3 linked regions of the Nothobranchius furzeri genome follow. The protein of the gene in region 3 interacts with the protein of the main gene of each other region in a biochemical or structural test. Links are inferred from orthologs where the notes say so. Each region holds a gene or a part of one and is shown on either strand. Other genes may lie near its edges.

Evidence for each region. The genes of interacting proteins can lie anywhere in the genome.
Region 1: the proteins of arf2b (region 3) and pld2 form a complex in vitro, tested with the Homo sapiens proteins (2 studies listed by BioGRID). The link is inferred for Nothobranchius furzeri from reciprocal best matches to the Homo sapiens genes ARF1 and PLD2.
Region 2: the proteins of arf2b (region 3) and cyth2 are reported together in a solved structure, tested with the Homo sapiens proteins (3 studies listed by BioGRID and IntAct, with this or other methods). The link is inferred for Nothobranchius furzeri from reciprocal best matches to the Homo sapiens genes ARF1 and CYTH2.

The regions. Positions count from the first base shown.
Region 1 is NC_091750.1:48,069,892-48,077,509, reverse strand, and holds the start of pld2 (phospholipase D2), read left to right. Parts: upstream 1-2,852; 5' UTR 2,853-3,010; intron 3,011-7,618.
Region 2 is NC_091745.1:76,531,336-76,538,928, reverse strand, and holds the start of cyth2 (cytohesin-2), read right to left. Parts: upstream 4,767-7,593; 5' UTR 4,633-4,766; coding exon 4,566-4,632; intron 3,553-4,565; coding exon 3,402-3,552; intron 3,197-3,401; coding exon 3,130-3,196; intron 3,053-3,129; coding exon 2,934-3,052; intron 2,855-2,933; coding exon 2,774-2,854; intron 2,547-2,773; coding exon 2,434-2,546; intron 1,854-2,433; coding exon 1,705-1,853; intron 1,625-1,704; coding exon 1,513-1,624; intron 948-1,512; coding exon 871-947; intron 1-870. UniProt on the Homo sapiens protein: Acts as a guanine-nucleotide exchange factor (GEF). Promotes guanine-nucleotide exchange on ARF1, ARF3 and ARF6. Activates ARF factors through replacement of GDP with GTP.
Region 3 is NC_091756.1:54,220,944-54,228,293, reverse strand, and holds the start of arf2b (ADP-ribosylation factor 2b), read right to left. Parts: upstream 3,868-7,350; 5' UTR 3,739-3,867; exon of another isoform or gene 3,705-3,738; intron 3,512-3,704; exon of another isoform or gene 3,467-3,511; intron 2,614-3,466; 5' UTR 2,604-2,613; coding exon 2,456-2,603; intron 1,515-2,455; coding exon 1,404-1,514; intron 1-1,403. Other genes in the region: mitogen-activated protein kinase kinase kinase 14, read right to left, coding at 7,323-7,350. UniProt on the Homo sapiens protein: Small GTPase involved in protein trafficking between different compartments. Modulates vesicle budding and uncoating within the Golgi complex. In its GTP-bound form, triggers the recruitment of coatomer proteins to the Golgi membrane.

The DNA.
Region 1 (7,618 bases), on a different chromosome or scaffold from region 3:
TTGTGGATTTGGAGAAGGCTTATGACCGTGTCCCCAGGGGCACCCTGTGGGGGTTCGCTCCAGTAGTATGGGGTGGGTGGCTTTCTGTTAATGGCCATTCAGTCCCTTTACCAGAGGAGCGTGAGTTTGGTCCGAATAGCCGGTAGTAAGTGGGACCTGTTCCCAGTGAGGGTTGGACTCCGCCAAGGCTGCCCTTTGTCACCGGTTCTGTTCATTACCTTTATAGACAGAATTTCTAGGTGCAGCCGTGGTGTGGAGTGTGTCAAGTTTGGTGGCAGGAGAATCTCGTCTTTGCTTTTTGTGGATGATGTGGTCCTCCTAGCTTCATCCAGTTCTGACCTTCAGCTCTTGCTGGGTAGGTTCGCGGCTGAGTGACAAGCGGCTGGGATGAGGATCAGCACCTCTACATCTGAGACCATGGTTCTCGACCGGAAAAGGGTGGCTTGCCAACTCCGGGTCGGGGGAGAGGTCCTACCTCAAGTGGAGGAGTGTAAGTATCTCGTGGTCTTGATCACGAGTGAGGGTAGGAGGGATCGGGAGATCGACAAGCGGATTGGTTCAGCATCTGCAGTGATGCGGATGCTAAGCCGATCTGTCATGGCGAAAAGGGACCTGAGCCAGAAAGCCAGGCTCTTGATTTACCGGTCGATCTACGTCCCAATCCTCACCTGTGGTCATGAGCTTTGGGTAATGACCAAAAGAATAAGATTGTGGATACAAGCGGCCAAAATGAGTTTCCTCCGTAGGGTGGCTGGGCTCAGCCTTAGAGATCAGGTGAGGAGCTCGGACATTCGGGAGAGACTCGGAGTAGAACCGCTGCTCATCCGGATTGAAAGGAGCCAGTTGAGGTGGTTTGGGCATCTGGTCAGGATGCCTCCTGGACGCCTCCCCGGGGAGGTGTTTCGGGCATGTCCTGCCGGCAGGAGGCCCCCGGGTCAACCTAGGACACGTTGGAGAGGTTACATCTCCAATCTGGTCCGGGAACGCCTTGGGGTCCTGCTGGAGGAGCTGGTGGAGAAAGCCTGGGAGAGGACGGTCTGGAGCTCCCTAGTTGGGATGCTGCCCACGCGACCCGGACCCGGATAAGTGGAGGAAGACGACGACGAAGAAGAATCTGAAAATCTCGATGTTTGGTGTCTAGAAATGCTGTTTGTTAAATGGCAATGCTAAGTTGAACCGTCTAGATGGGGGGAAAAAACACGTGTTCTGTGCATTTGTCGCCATCTTGTGTTACTTTAGTGGTATTACAAAATGTCTTTAAAAAATTAAATTATTTTAAATCAAATGACAGATTACAAGTAAACAAACAAAGTTCATTTCCACAAAGAACAAAGAGTAAAAACTGCATTTATATTCTGTTTCTGGTTACAGTTGTTGTATTTGGTTTTAATTTTAATTATTTGAATAGTTTATACATTCCAGTCCAATCCTGTAAAAAAATAAAAATGTAATTAAAAGCAAATCGTTACATCTGAATGAAGGTCTGTTTGTGCTCAGACACATGAAAAGAGAGTTGCAGTAGTCATGAGCATGAGGAGATGAAGGTGTGGATCACAATCTCAAGTTCAGAGCGGGACAGAATGGGACTCAGCTTAGCAATGTTCCTGAGATGGAAGAAGGAAGAGCGAACAAGAGAACTGACATGAGAATCCAGGGTGAGAGCTGGGTCAAAGGTCATGCCAAGATTCCTGACAGAAGGTATGTTGTGAGAAGCAAGCTGACCAAGAGAGTCTCTGATTTTGGGAACCAGCTTGTCTGGGGCACAGATGAGGATCTCAGTCTTACCTTCATTCAGCTGAAGAAAGCTCCCAGCCATCCAGGTTTTAATAGAGTATAAGCAGGAGTGTTACAGCTGCAGCTTAGACATCTCATGGGGCTTAAAGGAGATGTACAGTTGGCTGTCATCTGCGTAAAGATGGTAGGAGATTCCTTTGAAGGAGCTCAGGATGTGCTGAAGAGGAAGCAGATAGAGGGGGAAGATTAGAGGCTCCAGCACAGATCCTTGTGGGACTCCATGGATGAGGAAGGTGGTAGAGGACCAAAACTTGGAAACCTTTGTGTTACCCCTGCTAATTCTTCCTCACTACCTTATTTTTATGCAATCTCTATCAATTTTGCCTTTCCTGGGATGACCTTTTATTTTTATCCTATGCATTTTTGTCCTCCTTCTCATTTTTCCATTTAAAAGTTTAAATATCCCTCTTTTTAATTCAATTCAATTCAATTCAAGTTTATTTATATAGCACCAAATCACAGCAAGAGTCATCTCAAGGCACTTCACATAGTAAACATTCCAATACAGGTCAGTCAGTTCATTAAGCCAATCAATAAAAAGTTTCCTATATAAGGAACCCAGCAAACTGCATGAAGTCACTGACTTTTTAAATTATATTAATTGTGATATTTAGTGGAAATTACATGTAATATTATGCTTGTTCTGCCCCCTTGGCACCCGGATCATTACGTTCACTCCTAATTTTTTTTTACAAAAACGTGTGATGCTGCTCATGAGTTTTATTTTGAGAAAATAACACAGGAACCGTAATACCATAACACGTTTTAAACCGCACCTGAAAATCCATTTCGACTTATATTTTGAAAGTATTAACAGGAAGTGCCGTAATACTTTAATAGTTGCAACTAAAAACTCTATAGTTGGAGCGATAGCGGCGCCGATGAATTGTTTTATGTGCTACTGCATTCCTACACGTCTGCTCTCGCTGTCTGCGGTTCTGGGCCACGTCCTGTGTTCATGTCAGACCTGACAGGCGCTCCAACTTCCCATGTGAAGTTTTTTTTTTTTTTTTTTTTTTTTTTTTGTCGACTGTGCTACATTTTAGCCAATGGGAGGGACTAAAGAATGCATCACCCACGGGCGACAGTACCGATGAACTATTCTGGTGGCGTTAACCTGGAATACGATAAATTTCCTCCCGGATAAGTAATTAGTTCCCCCGTCCCGCGTGCGGAATAAATGATTGTCCCGAGCTGAAGCTGCAGCTGAACTCCTGTGAGTATAATTATTGTATAAGTGGACATTTTCTCCTCGTTTTTGCCTCGTAGGAAACTGGGTGGAGACGAGAAATTCGCTCTTCCCATGTTTAGCTTGCATTTGATGGATAACATCATTAGTTTAGCAGCTGTGTAAATAACGTTTTGTAGATCTGTGTGTGAGTTTTACACACTTGTGACAGAGCTTGTGCACTTTATAATTATGTATATAAAAAATATTCAATCACTTCTCTCACGTTCAAAGCTTTTCCTCACGATATGTATTATAAAGTGCTTTGTAAAACGTTTAATCTTCCAAAGACAGAGTTATAACAGAATGGTGAGAGGTATATTAGACTCAAAAAACAACCCTTGTGGTACCATGAGATGACTCATGGTATATTTACATTTCCTGTTATTACCTTTTATGCTTGGTGACTTTATTCTGCTCAAGGTGAAGACTTCCTTTCATTTGTAGCACAACTGATTGTTAAAGAGCAAGTCACCCCCTACCAGAGAATTACTTTGCTCCCACTTCCTGTTTGGAAAATGCAACAAATGCTGTTGCCTAGCAGACCGAGAGCGAAGCCACTAACAAATACTCACACTAGAGGTGCGAATCTTCACTTGTCTCCCGATTCGATTACGATTATTGGGTCAACCATTCAATTCGATTCGATATCCAGATGCATCACGATTATTTCATATTGATTTGTTTTCATCGATAAATAGAATATGTCAGACAATTGCTTTTTTATTTTTTCCAACAGAACCGGTCGGGCTGATTCGGTTCTGGTTCGGTCTCGGGTTACAACTCTAGCGCTCAGCTCTGCAGTACCACATTAAGGCAGAACTACTTGGTAAATGTGGAGGACACTCACTCTGACAGATTTGGATGCTGCGCTGGTGCTGCCATTAAAAAAACAAAACTACATTCCACTATAATCGATTATGGCCTACTCTTCTACGATGCAGAATCGTTGATGTCCGCATCCCAATGCATCAATTGTTTGATTATTTTCCTCAGCTCTAACACACACACAGGCTCACAAAGACACAGTGACATCATATGGTACCAGCTAACATTCTAGGGTACCTCTTAGCCAATAGCGATGGCAGATTTAAATTCAACTGCAGTGCAGAGTTTTTACCTGACAACGGCACAACACTGACAGTTTTAGGCCAAAAATATGAATTTGAACAAAACTGCACTAAAGTGCAAAACTATTGACTACACGTGTCTGCAGCACGATTAGACACACATTGATATAGTTTATCAGAAAAAAATGTTGATTTGGGGGTGACTTGCTCTTTAAATATTGTTTTCTGTGCGCACCTGCATTTTTTTAATAGAAACAACAACCTCACTTGTCTTTGAAGAGTTAAAGGTCAGTCTTGTGCTGTCAGAGCTGCTCTTTCACTTGTTGCCCCACCCAGGTGTCATGCAGGCTGCAGGATGTCAGCATAGTCAGAGATTTAGTTAGTGGGAAATTGTTCTTAGAGCCGGTCTGCTTTATTTTCATGCAGCAAAGAGAGAAGAGTTCTTCTCATTTTTCAGAAATATGTATATTTTTATTGAAATTGACTTCTATTGGAGAACAGCTTCTGTAATCAGCTTTTCCTTTTGATAAAATCTTGAAAGTCACAAAAAAAATGCTTTAACTTTCTAAACACTTTTGCTTTCTGCTTTTTGCACTTTTTCCAACAGATCCCGTGAAGTGTGTGTATGATGCAAATTCACATTTATGATTCTGGGAATGATTGGCGTGGCTTTTCTTTTAAATTCCATTTTAGCCCATCTTGTTGTGTTGTAAACAACACAACAAGAATTTGTCCCGGATGTAATTTGAGTAAGTGGAAGGCACTTTACTAAAGAGAGAAATCTTTAGTCCACTCTAGACTTTAAACATGCATGTTTGGAAAATTCTGTGTTTACCTCACAGCATGAGCCAATCCAGGGTTTTATGCAAACTTGGAAACAAGTAAGAGCAAGACTGTGTGATGAAGAGAAAAGGTGCTGCTAGTGTTGACATTCAGCAGAGCAAAATAATTCTGAACCTTAAATTTCTGAATGGAAAAACAGAACAAGATTTTGTTTTAGAATACTACAAAAGTGTGGGAAACTTTTACAAATGTTTCTATAAAAGTAAAATGTTAGTTATCATTATTATTTTTTTATCAAGGTGATTTCTTATCCTAAAAGAAGCAGGATTTTAATATATCATGATAATTCTTACTAATTCATTTGCACGTCTCAGATTTCACATATGTGTTGAAAGCTGGGTGCAAGTGTGATAACAGATGCGTGGTTCAGGGATTTAGTTTTAGTTTAGCTAGTTTAGTTTTACATTTTGTTACGAAGACCAGAGTTTAAACAAAAATAGCCGATCTTCACAGTCCCATGCAGCTGGAAAACATTGCTTTATCAGCCATAGGGTGATGAGGAAAAATGAGGGATTTTGATGAATCTCTGCAATACAAAGATAAGTGGCATATTTCAAAAATGCACCTTTGTTTTCATCAGTCTTTGTATTCTTTCGCACAATAACAGATAATGTTCCTAATCAGAATTCACACTCACTTCCTGTTTGCTAATCAGCCTCCTGTGTGTTAGTAAGTGTGTAATATCTGAACTAGTTGTAAATCAGACAAAATCCCATAAAGCCTTCATGTTTAACAAGAGTTGGTTCTGCTTTATATTATTCTCATTTAGTTTTCTCTTCCTCTTTTAGCTCTTCACACACGTCAAACACACACACACACACACACGCACGCACGCACGCACGCACGCACGCACACACACACACACACACACTCCTCCCTTCCCATGTCCTCGTCTCCCAGAAAACACTCAGCTATTCTCTCTCTCTCACACACACACACACACACACACACACACACACACACACACACACACACACACACACACACACACACACACACACACACACACACACACACACACACACACACACACACACCACAAAAAGCTTCACACACACCCTGTTTTCTAGCTGCATTCTTAATGCCTTCTAAGTAATGACAAAGATGTGTTATGTTTTGTGTTTTAGATGGAAAATTGATAAAATCTTATCCTGATTTCTGTTTTATTTAGCTGTTCATCCTGTCAGATATATTTAGTCTTCAGATTCCATCACCTGATTGTTTTAAAAGGAACCCAGGTTACAAAACCTTGTGGCTCTTAAAAGATAAATGTTAGTATCAGTTAAATTAAAACGACGATGTTTCACAAAACAAGCGTCAAAATGAAGAGCAAGAAGGGCGGGATGAAGCGAGAGCAGGACAAAACCAGTGGTGCGTGTGCGGCAAATGTGTTTCCATAGTAACCGAGAGGGAGAGTGTTTGTTGACAAGAGCTCAAATTTTTGTCAGCAGAAGTTAACGGTAAGCTATCGTGTGATCAAACTTATTCAATTATGAATGATTTTGTAGAATATTAGCATCCATAGCTGTCGTGTGCTTTATAGATGATTAGGATATTCAGTGAAATGACTTTAACCATTTTTGCAGATATTACATATTTGTAGAACACAGTATTGCTACACTTACTGCTTGTTTTACTGACGGGAGAGGTGAATGTTCAGCTTCATCCGTGTTAGTCATAGGGTCGGGGGGGGGGGGGGGCTCTATGTTTATTAAATACCTTCTTGAGAGTCATGGTACTCTGTGGGAACCTTAGATAGGTCAGGGAATGCTTCTTGAATCTCTGCTGTAATGATTTCATGGGTTTCAGCCAAGCCCCCACAATGCGGCTCCAAAATTGGGCCCAACCCGGAAGTACCAAAATTGCAGTTCCACCCTCATCCGCTGGGAGCTGGTGTTAGAAGCGAGCAAATCCTCATTGACTCCCATGTTAAAAATACCAATTTCACAGCAGAAATAAACATGTTTGCAGCCTGGTAACAGAACATGTTTTTTGTTTAAATGATCTAGTTTACACTCATGACAACTCTGAGGGGGGTGGATTTTTTTCTCACTCTTCTGTTTAAGTGTATTAAAAGCCTAAAATTCTGTATAATTAATGAGCATCAGACCCATCTGACCACAGAGCTAGCTCCGTGGAAAGGCCTCAGTAGAGCCTCGGGCTGGCTTGGAAACTGTTCCGGGATTTTGAGTCTCTGTGTTTGTGTATTCTTGTTTGGATATTTTTTATGCAATTGTTGGACAAAATGACTTGCTGTGGCATTAATTGCACTAATAGAGCATCCAAGGAGTCTCCACTTCATTTTTTTCGGTAAGTAAAATTATATTTATGTATTTTAGGTCACTGCCGAGCTGAGCTTAGATTTTAACATGTACTGTTTAACCATGAAATTTAAATGTAATAGGGTAAAACCCAGTGCATTTAACATAATGCTGCATTTTAGAAAATGGGTTGAAATATAACATGTTGGTGGAGCTGGGTTCCGACTATCGGCTTGTGGAGCTCTCGGGAGACCTCTGTTTTCCACCCGGTTCTCCCCTCCCCGCAGCTCGGCACATCTCTGTTTGATCGCGGCTTCTGTGTGCTGCGCGGGCTGCAGGCTGGGTCTCCCCGCAGCTCGGCGCATCTGTCTGATCGCGGCTTCTGTTTGCTGCACGGGCTGACGGCTTGTGGAGCTCTGGGA
Region 2 (7,593 bases), on a different chromosome or scaffold from region 3:
GGTGGACCTAGCACCAGAACAGCGACAGCTCAGCAATGCTCTAATCCCGCAGGGTAACTGCAGGTTTAAGGGAGCCAAATTTAAGACTTTTTAAGACCTTTTTTAAGGCCATTTTGACCAATTTTAAGCAATTTTTTAAAATTAAATTTAAGCTATAATTTCCAGCTATTGCCTGGAACCAGTGCTAACCACGTCGCCAACGTGGGATTAGCCATCCAGTTACCATTAAACTTTCACTTCCCCATGGTGCAAGCTCCCACTAGCTTAACCAGCTAATGTGCTCATGTAAAAATAGCCCCCTTTCACAACCAACTGAATGTGTACGGTTCCGCTTACGCCAACATTATACACAAAAATTGCTGAACACTAACTAGAAATTTATAAAAATTTTATGGAAAGAAAATAATCTTGTTTATTGGGTCTTTGGACATTTAAGACCGTTGGAAACTGTATTTAAGGATTGTTTGTCATTTTTAAGGATTTTTAAGGCCTTAAATTTGGAAAAGCAAATTTAAGACTTTTTAAGACTTTTTAAGGACCCGCGGATACCCTGTGGATGATTTAGACTTGGGCTTTTCTTGGGAATCATGAGCAGACAGAGGTGTGTGTCAGACTGCCCCGTTGACTGATGTACATAGCAAATAACACGTCACATTATTTGTTGCTGATTGGTCCTGGCGCTATCCGATTACGTGCGCAGACTGTTAGAAAGACAACCTTCGATTCTGCCCCACGACCGGGTTGTTTCAATGGGTCGGACTACATATTTACATATATAGGATGGCTTGCCAGGCTAATCTGAAACAACTACTCAGTTTAAATTCTAAACATAATAAAATACTTCTTATGGTTGTTGCATTAAATACTTACTGTGGTGTATTCAAAGTAATAAAGGCAATTATCGGTAAGAATGAACCATCGACGTTTCCAGGTTTTCACTCGTCCTCCTGGGAAAAAGTCACAACAGGACAATAAGAGATGGAAGTTAAAAGAAAAAAAAAAGGATTTGAACTTTTACTCTACCAAGCTACGAATTCTGTATTCTAACTACGACCTACTAATACTTCTACAACTTTTTGGACGCTCTTCAGTACATACCTCCTGAGAAAACAAGCAGCGGCAGTAGAGGGTGGAAATTTCAGGGAAGAAGCAGAGACAAAAAGAAACCGGAGGATTTAGAAGGGAGGTAGAAGAGGGGACGGAGATCGTATTAGTGACACGTTGATCACAGGTCGCCGTCATGCAAAAAGAAAACAAACAGATGTCCAAACTGCCACGGCACACAGGAGTGAGCGCGTCTTTCACCAACACACCATGGAGATGTTTAAACACTGCCACGGTGTGAGGCGATGATTCAGGTGGAGACAAAGAGGCGACGAGCCTCAGAGACAGGAGGACAAGGTCATCACAACACAGAGAGGTGAAAGTACAGAATGTAACACTTTGTCCTGATACCGGCATCACACACCGAGCTCCTCAGCTACAGATTACACGAGATCAGGGTCAAAATACCGAGTTTGAGAAGCCAGCCCTCCCTGTCTGGGTTGAAGAACGTGTGCGTCAGGTCGTTCCCGTCGTCCTCTGGGATCTTAAAGGGCTCGTTTTTAATGCTTTCATACAGATTCTGGAAAACCAAACAAGACAAATAAACAAATAAATAAACAAGCTCATAAATATTCTAACGGGGCATCCAGTGACTCGTACTCTGAGCAGCTCCTCGGGCAGGTCCCCCCCCTCATTGATGCCTCGGTTCATTGAGATGAAACGGTCCAGTCCAGGTTTGTCCCTCACATTTGGGTTATGGAGGCTTGTGTTCAACATTATTATAGCAAACGAAAGCACATAACACGTGTCTGCAAACAGGAGAGGAAAGAGAAGAACTAAGAGAGTCAACAGAAACACACTTTACAGCAGAGCATGGGTTATGTTTGCATATTTTCTGCTCTAAGTGGATGTTTGGAACTGGCTGAACAATTTCTCTTCCATCATCCCAGCCTGCAGTACAGATATGTGGACTTATGTTGCAACGTGTTAATCCTGCTGAGCTTATTGTGCCTGAAGCAAAGGGAAACCTGACTACATGTAAAACATTACAGAACAATTGACGGAAACAATGAAAAACAACACTAACTGCCTTTAATGAAAGGTGTGTATAAATGTTAAGAGGGAATGCTTTCTGGTCAGGGGCAGATTATGTGAGGGCCGACCTTTGGCAAAAATACCTTTAGTCACTTTGGCTTCGCTTGAACAAACACAGAACTCATAAAAAATAAATAAGAAAAGAGCACCGTAAGGCAGAAATGTGGTGTAAAAGGGCCAGCTCAAAACAAAACACATCTAAAGGTGCAAAAAATATTTTAAAATAAGATTCATGCTGGTTAAAAATGGCATTACTACTAGCCCTACGAGAAAAACGGTTTGTTTTGTGATTACCGGTGCTCTGGAAGACGCCGGGGTTGCAGTGACAATATCTCTGAGCAAAGGCCTCCATCATTCTGTCGATTTTCTGTGCTTCACCAGGCAAACGGAAGCTCCACAGGAACTGTCTGTAGAAAACAGGACAGGGTTCGGGTCAAGCCTAAGAGATCAAATTCAGCCACTAAGGCAGAGTTACATAGTCAGTTTTGACTTGTTGCATAATGTTGTTCCAACCCAATCTGAGAGAAGGGGGGGGGGGGTTCCATTGTTGGGCATGTTTGTCCACTAGAGAATCCCCGATTACATGTTAATAGCTTCATATAATGCAGAACCAACAGAAGTGGATGCAGTTCACCTGAGAGCCTGGACGAGGTTGAGATCTGTGAACTCGTGGAGGTCGACAAAAGCTTGAAGCACTTTGATGTTGAAGTCATCTCTGCAGCAAAACAGACCACAGTTACAAACGGCTGCATGAAAGAGACGACAGGAACAAAAGACACTTCAACACCTCCCACCTCTCTCCCAGGTAGTCTCCTATGGCAGTCTTGTTGAGGCCTTCTCCTTTGTACAAGAACTGAGCGATGTCTTCTGGTGTGTGTCTGAGCAGCTCATTCTCTACCAAAAACGTAATACCCTGCAGAAATAGTCCATAAATGAAAAGAGCAATCCCAGAAAAATATCAAAATCAGCAAATCTAAAGGACAGTGTTACCTTTTTAGGGTCCATGTTGAATTTCTTCCTTCCCATCGCTACGTGCCGACTTTTTTGAAGAGTTTTACTGCAGAAACAACACAAGTTAACTCAATTAAACCGCATACTTCTTTTAAGACACCAACAAGTTATTGGAAACAAAAACACAATAAATACTAATAGAAACATGAAAAACTAACACACAAGTTTAAAAATCTGTGCATATTGTGTTGATTTAGGTCAAAAGCTGCAATGCTATTTCTTTGATTTATAGTAAATAAGAATTTCTTTACCTGCCCTCTGTGCTGCTCTCTAGTCCCTCCACTTCTAAAATAGCCTCCCTCAACTCCTCCCTGAGCCTCTGGATCTCCTGCAGCAGGACGCCCTTCCTCCTACGAATGTCCTCCAGCTCAGAGCGCTCCTCTGGGCTCAGGTCTACTGGGACTGCAGGGGAAGACAAGAGAATGACAGCATTGGTGCTGCAGAACCAACAAAACGTTAGCTGTGCCCAAAGAATCTAGGTCAAAAGCAATCTCCACTAGTGGGAGAAAATGTTTGTTTTATTAAAACTAATTAAAAATACTAAAATTATGAATTGCACATGAAAAGCCTGAAAGAACTCAGCATTTCCTTGCTAGCTGCGTGGTTTTCATTTGAAGTAAAACTGGTGCAAGTTGGTAAATTTCCCAATAATTTTATATTTGAAAGCACCAACACCTTACAATGTGTATTTTGTCATTAAACAACTAGAATTATTTTTGTCCTGCTGAAGGTGGGTGTGATTTAATGACACAGCCTGATGTCCATTGAAGACATTTGGAAGTGCAATTCAATGAAATTCAACAGCACCACCACCTGCAGCTTTCAACTGGACCAACAATATTACAGCAGAAACCAACAGCAACTCTCTCAACTAAACATTGTAGTGATGCTAGAAACGGGTAGTTAATTTTCTGTTAACATTTCGCCTTTAAACTAATCAATTCAAACCACGTAGAAAATGTAAGCTCTTGGTGGATATTTTTAAAATCCCCAAACCATTGTAACCCCCCAAAACAATAAAATGCCACACCCAAAGCATACATTTTTCTACATACCTAAATGTTTATTACTTACGAGACTTTAGAGGCTTTTATGTTATAATTAATCGCTTATAAGACCTTTATATGCAGTTTGATGCGTAAATCATGTCCACCGAGGTTAGCTGTAAAGTTAGCCAAGAACAAACACCGACAGAATCAATAGTTAATTAGCAAAAACAATATGCAGTTGCGGCTTATTTCTACATACATGCTAAATACGTACACACGTTTTTATAGAGAACAAAAAAGACGACTGGTATGATCACCGGGAGAAGTTAGTCTAACGGAGCAAATATAAAGTCAACCAAAAGCGACACAGCTAGCCAGTTAGCTACGGCGGCGTTCCGAAAAGACCGACTCAGTAAGCCCACTTACTGTAGTCCAGGTCATCCATTTTTGGCGCTTTATTTTTAGGCATAAATAGTTCAGAGTCGACTGTCATTAAATGTCAGAAAATTGGGGATATATTAGGAAATATATCCACAGAACTAAAAGGAAAAAATTGACATCCCCTGGTGTTGAAATCCTGGGCCGTAGACAAAGAAGGTGGCGACACCGGAAGCGGTGTCGATCGACTTCCGGTCAGTCAACTTTCAAAATAAAACAACAAAATTCACTTTAGCATAATGCACAATATACAAAAAATACAAAGTTGAATGTTTAAGACTTAACCATTTATTACTATCCCTCATTAATTATAAATTACAATTTTGTATAAAATATACTCCAGTTTCCGTGTGGGTCCAGTGATTTTTCTGTTAACATGAGAAATCTAAAAGAAAGGAGATTAGGCAGGGGGGTTTCCTATTATTCTGGTTTAACTTCATTTTAAACTCTGATTTGGTTTCACTAAAACACTCATCACTGAAGTTTGTTCTTTGCATTTTGCTCCAGACTAGGCTAATAGCAATAGTTGAGTTGATCGCTGATATGGTGCCAGCTTGATCTCAAATTATATTTCAGATTGTATATAAAGCCCATTATTACCCAATATGACAATTTGCTTTGTATCAGTAACACCCATTTGGCCTACAAAATGAAAATTAATCTTGCAATTTGGCTAATCACCTTTTGGTATGAAGAGTCTAATTCATAGTATAGAAACTCTTTAGTACATTTGATTGTATCAGAGGAGCAACCTAATGCAAGTTCAGTCCAGACTGTTGTATCCAACTTTTTAGTTGCTTTTACAACCCAAACCAAAATCACCAATGAAGTGAAGAACTGAGGGTTTATTTTAAGTTTGTCTTAAAGGTGCATTATGTAGAAATGAAGTAAAAAGTATATCCTGTGGTAAAATGTGGTTACTGCAACCACTTTAAACAACTGGAGCTTTTTGCTGACCGTCATCAAATTATAATAGTTGGCACTGCAATATTAACTCACGGGAGACATGGCGACCCCACACTCACTGATGGTAAACAGCAGTTACGTCACTCCTTCCTTTGTTTTGAAAGGAGAAAAACTGACAATCCAACAGCCAGCTGGATGTGAAATATGTTCCAGTAAAACTTTCCTTGCAAAATGACAACACACTTTTGGTATTTTCTCACTGTATCCCTACATACTGCACTTTTAACACAATCCAAGCCAGGCATTTGATTTGTCAGTTTGGTAAAATATCCATGTCCAAACTAGGGCTGACCTGATCAGGTTCTTTTGCTCTCGAGACTGAGTCATTTAATTTTGAGCATCAACCGATACCAAGTCCTGATCCAAAACTTCTATCATACATTTAAAAAATAATGAAAACGAGCAAAGAAACAGATCCAGGATGTTCCTCTAGTAACAAACAGAGCACTTCTTGAACAATCAAGTAATAAATACCAAAATTCTTCACTTTTGGACTTCAGTTTAATGTTGTCATCAACTTTTTACCTCCCAAGACTGCATACATCCAGCTTCACTGGCTGCCAGTCAACTTCAGGGTTCATTTCAAGATCCTGGTTCTGGTCTATAGGGCCTTACATGGACAAGCACCATCTTACATTGGTGATCTTCTTAGTCCCTACACCCCCAGCAGGTCCCTCAGGTCCAGTGACCAAAGCCTACTGGTTGTGCAGCACCAGGCTAAAGGTCAAAGGTGACAGATCATTTGCTGCTGTGGCCCCCAGACTCTGGACCTCTCTCCCCCTGAGCCTGAGATCAGTGGACTCAGTGGTCTCCTTTAAAAAGCAGCTGAAGACTCACCTGTTCAAGCTGGCTTTTGTATGACCTTCTTCACCTCTCTCTCTTTATTCTGCTCTCCCCACCTATTCCACCTTCCTCAGGACCCACCGATTTCCCTCTTTCCTGTTTACTCTCTCTCTTTCTTAACTTTTTTAATCACAATTGCCTATTTTTGCTCATTTTAATATATTTTTAAACATTTTCTAAATGCTTTTTTATATTTTTACATGTTTTGTTTTTGTGAAGCGCCTCGTGATTTTGATCGAGAGGCGCTATAGAAATGATATTTTCTTCTTCTTCTACATACTTGCGCTTTTCTACTTCCATGTTCCACTTTGCCAGCGTTTAACCAACAAAGAGATGTCATGCCGCACAGGTTGCTGTTTCAGTGTGGAGTCAAGAGGTCCAAGTCTGTGTTAAATTGTTAAAAAAATAAATAAATTATATGTATCCCGAGTCTGGATCGGGAGGTACTGTCCAGTTCTGACCGATCAGGACCAATTTCCAATCACGCGATCAGATCTGGGCATCCCTAGTAAAAGCAGTTAGTACACGTTTCAGATGGAGTGAATATTTCATCTTAGATAAATAAGATTGAGGTAAGAGACCTTTAAAGTAAAATCTAAAGCAAAAATACTCTAATCTTTTTCAGAGACACGTTAGAAAGACAAATGATTTTACACAAGACAAATGTATGAAGTTACATTTATTTGCAAACAGATAACTATAATTGGTACACTGCATTTGTATACATTTCATTGATTTAGTAATAATTACCATTTGATTACAGGTAGTTTACTACAGACAAATTCATAGCATTTTCAACTGGACACCGTCATAGCAAATTGGTCTACAACACCATGGTCCCGGCTCTGGCCACTGACGACGCTGGTCTAGGAAAGTAAACGGTCATGACTAGGCTCTTCAACACCAAGAGTAAACATTTTGGCAACAACTTTTCGCCCAAAGTGTATGTATCATTTTCTGTTTTAGTAATATTACAAGCTTAGCCTCAAAGTGTACTAGCATTGGTAGCTGTGTAAGCTCAAAGCAGCGTTGGTAGATTAGTTGTATTGTGCACTCAAAAAGGGAAACAAGGCAGAAACAAATCTTTTTTTTTTTAACTCCATTCGTTGCGGTCGGGTTTAAACAGTTCATCATTAGCAGCCGGAATTTACAGGCTTATTACACAAAGGCATCGATTTGACAAATACGGTATGCTGATGGTGATCCA
Region 3 (7,350 bases):
ATACTAAATATTCAATAGCTGCAGCCCCATAATTAACTCCGTCCTCAACTGGATGTGATTTTAAAGAGCAAGTCACCCCCAAATCCACTTCTTTTTTGCCGATAAACTATATAAATGAGTGTCTAACCATGCTGTAGACGCATGCAGTCAATAATTTGGCACTTTAGTGCATCTTAGTTCAAATTTAAATATTCTGCCTAAACTGTCATTGTTGCACAGTTGTCAGGTAAAAACTCTGCACTGCATTTAAATTTTATCTGCCATTGCTATAGTCTAAGAAGTATACTATGATGTCAGCTGGTACATTATGAGGTCACAGTGTCGTGTGTGTGTGTGTGTATTTGTTAGCGGCTTCGCCCTTTCAGTCTGCCAGGCAACAGCATTTTTCAAACAGGAAGTGGGAGTGGAGTAAGACTCTGGCAGGGGTGACTTGCTCTTTAAAAACCAAACATCTCAGGATTTTAAATGTAAACAAACCTAATCACAGACAATCTGATCTGGTGGGAGTGAACCTAAACACAGACTCTATGTAGTCCCAGTATCAGATTATCCCAGCACAGACGTGTGTTACATCACATCACGTACTAGAAAGTCTATTAAGACAAAACACATACAGCTAAACTGTTTTTATGTTGGGAGGAAAAATGAATAAAAACAGTTCTGATTATTGTAAGAAGTGTTACACAGATGCTGACGTTTCTGTCAAGCTTAGACAACATCACTTCCTGTCCTAGTTACTATGTTTGGGAAATGTTACATGGCCTGTACACTTCCTCAAAATGAGTTCAAATATTTCAACCCTCCAGTGGAAGTCTTATTGGAAGCTTGGCCTGTACAGTAGCTGGAGCTCATTAATGCAGCTTAAGTACCAGCGGCTGGCTGGCTGTGTTGACCTTCAGCTGAGAGCAAAAACAGATAAAAACACAAAGATGCATGACTCAGTCTTTTCATGGCAGCCACGTCCACAGCCTGCCTCCGATTTATTATCTTAACAAGACTGCAGCAAGCAGCAACTTTTCAACAGGTGAAATCAGAATTAGGACCAAATCTTCTGTCTACATATAAAATTATTACCGGAGCTGTAATTCAACGTTGCGATCTGTTTGAAACTCATTCTCTTAAGTGACACTTTTGACATCATCAACATATTCAACGTTACACTCAAGACAAAGAGCTCACTCACACACAGCTGACAAAATTGGAAGGAAAAACTAAGCATTTCTGCTCTACAGTGCTGTTTTCTGATCAGTGCCATCACTGGACAGGAGACCCACTTCACGCCAAGAACAGAATGAAGCTCCATGAGTCACTGGTTTGAAACTCATACACACACCAATGAAGCAACCTATGGGCAGTAATGCTCAGCAACATACAGCCAGCTGAAATATAGTACACCCTCTCACCTTGAGTGTTCTGGAAGTAGTGGCGCCACAGCGGCCTGATTTTATCCTGACCGCCCACATCCCAAACTGTGAAGCTGATGTTCTTGTATTCTACCGTTTCAACGTTAAAGCCTGCACACCAGAGAAGGAAAGATGGTGAGGCATCAACAATTTTAAAAAGTGTTCACAATTTACCAACAGTGTGTGTACAGACAAGACAGGGTTGAGGAGCTAACATTCGTCTCTGAAGGTTGAACATTAGAAAAATGACCCAAAATCTGTGCAGGTATTTTAAGACAGTTATTCTTCTGAAAAACTCTAACTCATCAGTTGGTCCACAATTATCTAAAATTATATTTGGTACAAAAATAATCCTTATAACATAAAAGCCTGAAGATAAGCAGCCTTCCAACAAGAAGAATAACCAACACTACTGACAAGAGGTTGACCAATAATGGTTTTTCTATTGCTGATACCAATGCCAGTATGTAGGAGACATGATCTGCCGACAGCTGACACGTACTGCTGATTTTTATTGGCATTTTCATGGCCTATATCCAGACATTTTCCATCTAATTTTACTGAATTTAACTAGCTGTTAAATATCAACTTTGTGCATGGTTCAGTGTTAAAGTCAGACAACTAAATAAAGTTAATTTAGAGTACATATTATGCTGATGTTATCAGCAAATGTAAAAATACATTTAAATTAAATTCTGCAACAGCACCGAGCTACCAGAGGTTGTCCATGTTGTAGTTCTTTTTAAACACAGAGTAGTTTTGTTTACCTGTTTTCCCGCTACGTTTCGTTTGCGGCTGCAAACTTCGACGCAGTTTGCAGCTGCAAACGAAACGTAGCGGGAAAACAGGAACACAAAACTACTCTGCGTTTTAAAAAGAACTACAACATGGAATTAGAAATACTACACAGCAAGAACAAAGATGTTACCAGAGGATGTGCTTGACTATAAATTGGCCTTACAAATATAAATCTATTGATGTATAAAAATGGTAAATAACAGCCCAACATAATGCTCTACCCCTACTACTGACATGAATAAATAAATCCGTACCAATGGTTGGAATGGTGGTGACTATTTCTCCAAGCTTCAGTTTATACAAGATTGTTGTTTTCCCAGCAGCATCGAGCCCAACCATCAGAATTCTCATCTCTTTTTTGCCAAACAGGCCCTTGAATAAGCTTGCAAATACATTCCCCATGGTGACAAAGCTGTAAGAAACGGAAACTGTTAAACAGGGTGACACATAGGTAGAAAAGGATGAAATGTAGTAAACTTATCTTAAATAAAATCTAATTATCCAATCCAACATTCTAAACAACACTTTAAATGTAAGGCTGTTAGTTTTTTGCAGCACCAGAAGAGGGAGCATCATTAGGAACATAAGTTTTAAGTCAAACAGAAAGACTCCAGAAGGCATTTCACAAAAGGCAATACAGCCAATATGGAAATGACAGGTACATACAGAAATGTGTTCTATAGAAGTTGGGAGACAAAGGTTAATGGTGAAACTAGGAACCGTTTTCAACTGAGTCAGGGTAAAAAGAAAAGTTGAGTTCGCGTTAAATATATTCGAGTTTTAGCTTTTGGGTAAACACTAAAATATTCAATCCATGTGTTCCTCAATTAACTTTTAAGAAAACAAAACTCTGAAAAATTAATCTTAATTCATCAGACTTGATCACCTGATCCAACCATCTCGTTCACCCGGATTAGCCTAACAGCTAACTAACCCTTGATTAGGCCTGCTCCAGATGGGAAACTCCGGTTGGGCAAAGTGTTATTGTGCGTGAAAGTAAACAGCAGCTCGACATCCAATCCAACTTAATCTAACAGAGGTTTGATGAGTGTTTAAGAGAAAAATAATAACAGAAAAATCCTGTATTACAAATTATAACGCAACGGGTAGCTTTGGATGTTAGCTTCAGCTAAGCGCTATTAGCTTCACTAAGGGCGGATGCTTCAGCTAGCCGATTGTGGACAACTATTCATCCAACAAATGTTTTAAACAACACATAGCGACACATTATGAAGAAATGTAACGCTGACATAATTGACAAGTACCAGTGGAACTGATGTTCAGCTCGTTGAAAAAAATCGCCGTAACAGATCTTAGATCACCAGTTACAGGAACTGATGTAGCGCGCTAGCTACCATTAGCTAATTGCCGCGTCACTGCTAAGCGAACACCATCACGTAATGTTAAACGCCACTCAAACCGAGTCATTTGAATATAGTAACAACCACCACGCGTTAGGCTATTTAAGGGTACAGAGATGAGCGTGTTTCTGAAGTTTGTTACCTCTAACGACACAGCTTCTCGATCTTTCCGTTACCTTTTACTGTCACTCCAAAATGGCGTCTTGCGCAACCAGGGAGACACCGGCGTTACGAGTGCTTCCCACTATCAAGTTATGGCCAATCATAGCGCCTATGGTGTAAGTGAGAGCCCGCCCCCGTCTATCGGCGAAGCAATCACAGCGGCGGAGGATCGACGTGTGAAAAGTGCACAAAATGTCGAGGAAGTGATGCGAGGCGGACAAGTTGGTCAAGTTTCTAATCAGGTTGTATGGCAGGCCTCAAGTTTCTAATCAGGTTTATGGCAGGCCAATGTAACATATAGTCAAAATATACCTGTTATACCGGTTTTTATAAATGCTAAACTTTCATCAATAATTTCACACGGTTAAGTCCAATAATCCTTTACACAGTAATAAACATATATCTAATTAAATATGTCAAAAACAAAATCAAGTAAAAAACAATGTCTCCACAACAGATACTATAAAACACCTCAAACTGACATTAGAAGACCCTAGTAAGTAGACCCTAGTAAGTAGACCCTAGTAAGTTTCTTGTAATGGAAATTCTTTGAGAAATACCGGTATGTACAATGTTTATTTCATATATGTCAAAAAATAGTCCAAATCATGTAAGTGGAAGAATGAATGATTCTTTGTTGTTCTGTTTGAGAGCCAGCAAACAACAAGCTGACATTTTCAACACAGAAAGGGTAGGTACTCTGAGCTGCTTTTGGGCACATAAGGAAACTTTCATTCTCTTGGGTAAACCTCAACATACAGGTTGACAGTCTGAGGTTCACCAGCCGCATCGGGTCTTCGCCTTTCTCCAGTGATGAAGAGAGCTCAACGCCAGGAGCTAAGGCTATTGTGTAGAAACGTGTCCATCTATATCCAGCCAGTACTGCTCAATCTCTTCCACAAGTCCCAGCTCCTTCCTTGTCATTCCATGTTCCAAACATTCAGGATCCAACTGCTAGCGCTACCACCTCGGTCTGGCCAACACAGACCCATCATGCTCCTCTTGCAGGTGGTGGGTCCACAAGTAGACAAGTCCATGACACCAGAATGCTAAGCCCAGCCATCAGGCATTCGCACGGGCCCAACACCTGGCTTGGTTTCAGGGTGGCCACAGTAATTTTCCAGGCCAAATACTGTTGAAGGATTTTCTGAGCGAGATTTGCTCTTGCCATGGGAGTCGGGAAATGAAAATCTCAGTCAAAAGGTCAGGTTCCTTCCGTTTCTCATATCTTTAAAGTGGCATGGGCAAATCTGCTAAATTATTCTCACCTCTCCTGTTGGCTTTCATCCCTAGGTCATGTTCCCTTGCTGAACACCAGTCATAGTTTCTAGGTCTAAACAGCTTTTGCTTTCCACAACTTAAAATGGCATTTTGCTTTTTATTGGGGGGGGGGGGGGGGGGGGGGGGAATGGCAGCTTCAAACTAGCTAGGGGTCTTCCTCCAGCAGCGGTAGCCACAGTTCAGAGTTCGAGAGCTTACTCTAATACGGGCTTTTATGCTTATAAATGGAGGGATTTTGAGCAATGGAGTCTGGTCAGAACCATGGTTCCTTCGTAGAGCTCTGTTGTGGATGTGCTAACGTTTCTGCAGGAGTTGCTGAACAAGGGTTTGTCCTTCTCTACTTTAAAGGTTCATCTGGGGGTGGGGGGAGCCAGGGGCTGACTGGGACGAAAATTCAACCCTGGAATATCTCCAGAACTCACAGATGGCCAGTCCACCCTGGGTAGGCCCACAACCTGGCGTAATTTGCCTTCTTCAGCCAGGCCACATGTGGCGTGACGTCCCATATACCACTCGTTCCTCTTCTTCAGGGAACAGTGGTTGCATAACTTGGAGTTCATACATGGTTAACTTCACATTACTCTAACAGACAGACCTTTAATTACAAAGTCACTCACTTCTGTACTAGTGCTTAAACATTCACAATAGGATGTTCTGACAAATAGAAAGCCTGAGACAAAAATAAGGATCTATAAAACACAAAGGCCTTTAGATAATGATTTTCTTATTGAGTAATAAATAGGGCTGCGCAGTGGAGCAGTGGTTAGAGCTGTTGCCTTGCAGCAAGAAGGTCCAGGGTTCGCTTCCCAGCCTGGGGTCTTTCTGCATGGAGTTTGCCAGGTACTCCGGCTTCCTCCCACAGTCCAAAAACATGACTGTTAGGTTGATTGGTCTGTCTAAACTGTCCCTAGGTGTGTGTGTCTCTGTGTTGCCCTGCGATGGACTGGCTCTCTGTCCAGGGTGTACCCCGCCTGATTGGCCATTGACCGCTGGAGGTAGGCACCAGTGCCCCCCCCCCCCCCCCCCCCCCCCCCCCCCCGTGACCCTGCGTGGACAAGCGGGCTCAGAAAATGGATGGAGTAATAAATAACCAGAAATACTCAAGATTTAAGGATTTTAAAAGTTTCCCATGAAATATAAATCTTAAAACACACCCGAATACACAAACATTTTAACTTTTAGTAGTGAACATGAGAAGACTTTAAAACGATGGTGGCAGAGGAGTTAAGTGACTGCCTTGCAATCAGAAGTTTGCAGGTTCAATCTGAGCTTAGTCTGCTGCTGTCGTTGTGTCCTTGGGCAAGGCACTTCACCCACATTGGCTGATGGTGGTGGTCGAAGGAACTGGTGGAGTCTGTGCTCGGCAGCATCTCCTCAGTCAGTGTGCCCCAGGGCAGCTGTGGCTACACACGCAGCTCATCACCACAAGGGTGTGAATGGGTGAATGATTGATTGTGTTGTAAAGTGATTGGGGGCATTAGGACTCTAGAAGGTGCTAAACACAGGCCATTTATCTTTTAAGGATTCTCTTTTGTAGAAGGATGGAAAATTAGCAGTTTTTAAAAAGCTAAAACGTTTTGACATTCCACAAAAGGCGATACAATATTTTGAGTTTGTATGATTTAGCCGTTTCCCTGCTCCAACACATTTGATTCAATGGTTGAATCACCTGTTCAGCAACTCATCAAGCTCTGAAGACGCCGGTTGCTCTGCTGCTGATTAAAATCAGGTGTTTTAGGCAGGAAAACAACCAAAACAAGCTGGATAGTGACCCCAGGACTCAGACTTCCAGCATATCTGTTAATGTTAGAGGTCAAAGGTCAGAATAGTTGGAATTTACTAAAAAGGCTTTAGAAACGCTAAACCAGCTCAAAATGCTGAACTAGTGTGAGCAGTTTCCCAAACAAACAACAGGTTTTGTATCCATGTTAGGACCAGAAATCCAAGGCTGTAGTTTGGAAACGTGAAGCCTGATCTGATGAGTCAGCAGATGGTTGTTCAAACAGGCGCCGCTCCAGAGCTGCTGGATGTCCTCTAATCAGAGGAATGTTTTCTCCTCAACAGCCAGCAGCTCAGTGTCTGAAACACGTCGGAGGATTTCTGCTGTTTACCTTCTCCTTCTGCAGAATTCCTTGTGGATAAACCTTAAAATCCAGCCCTACATATTGATCCTGAGAGTTGTTTGCTGTTTGTCACTGAATCTGGTCCGTTTATGTGCTTCAGGCTTTAAGAAAAACAAACTAACAAAAAAACAAAAAAAAAAAAACAATGGTTTCAAGAAGGATTTCTTCTAAAATGAGCAGCACCAGAAACCGTCTCATTCCCGGAGCTCCAGCCTGCCGTCC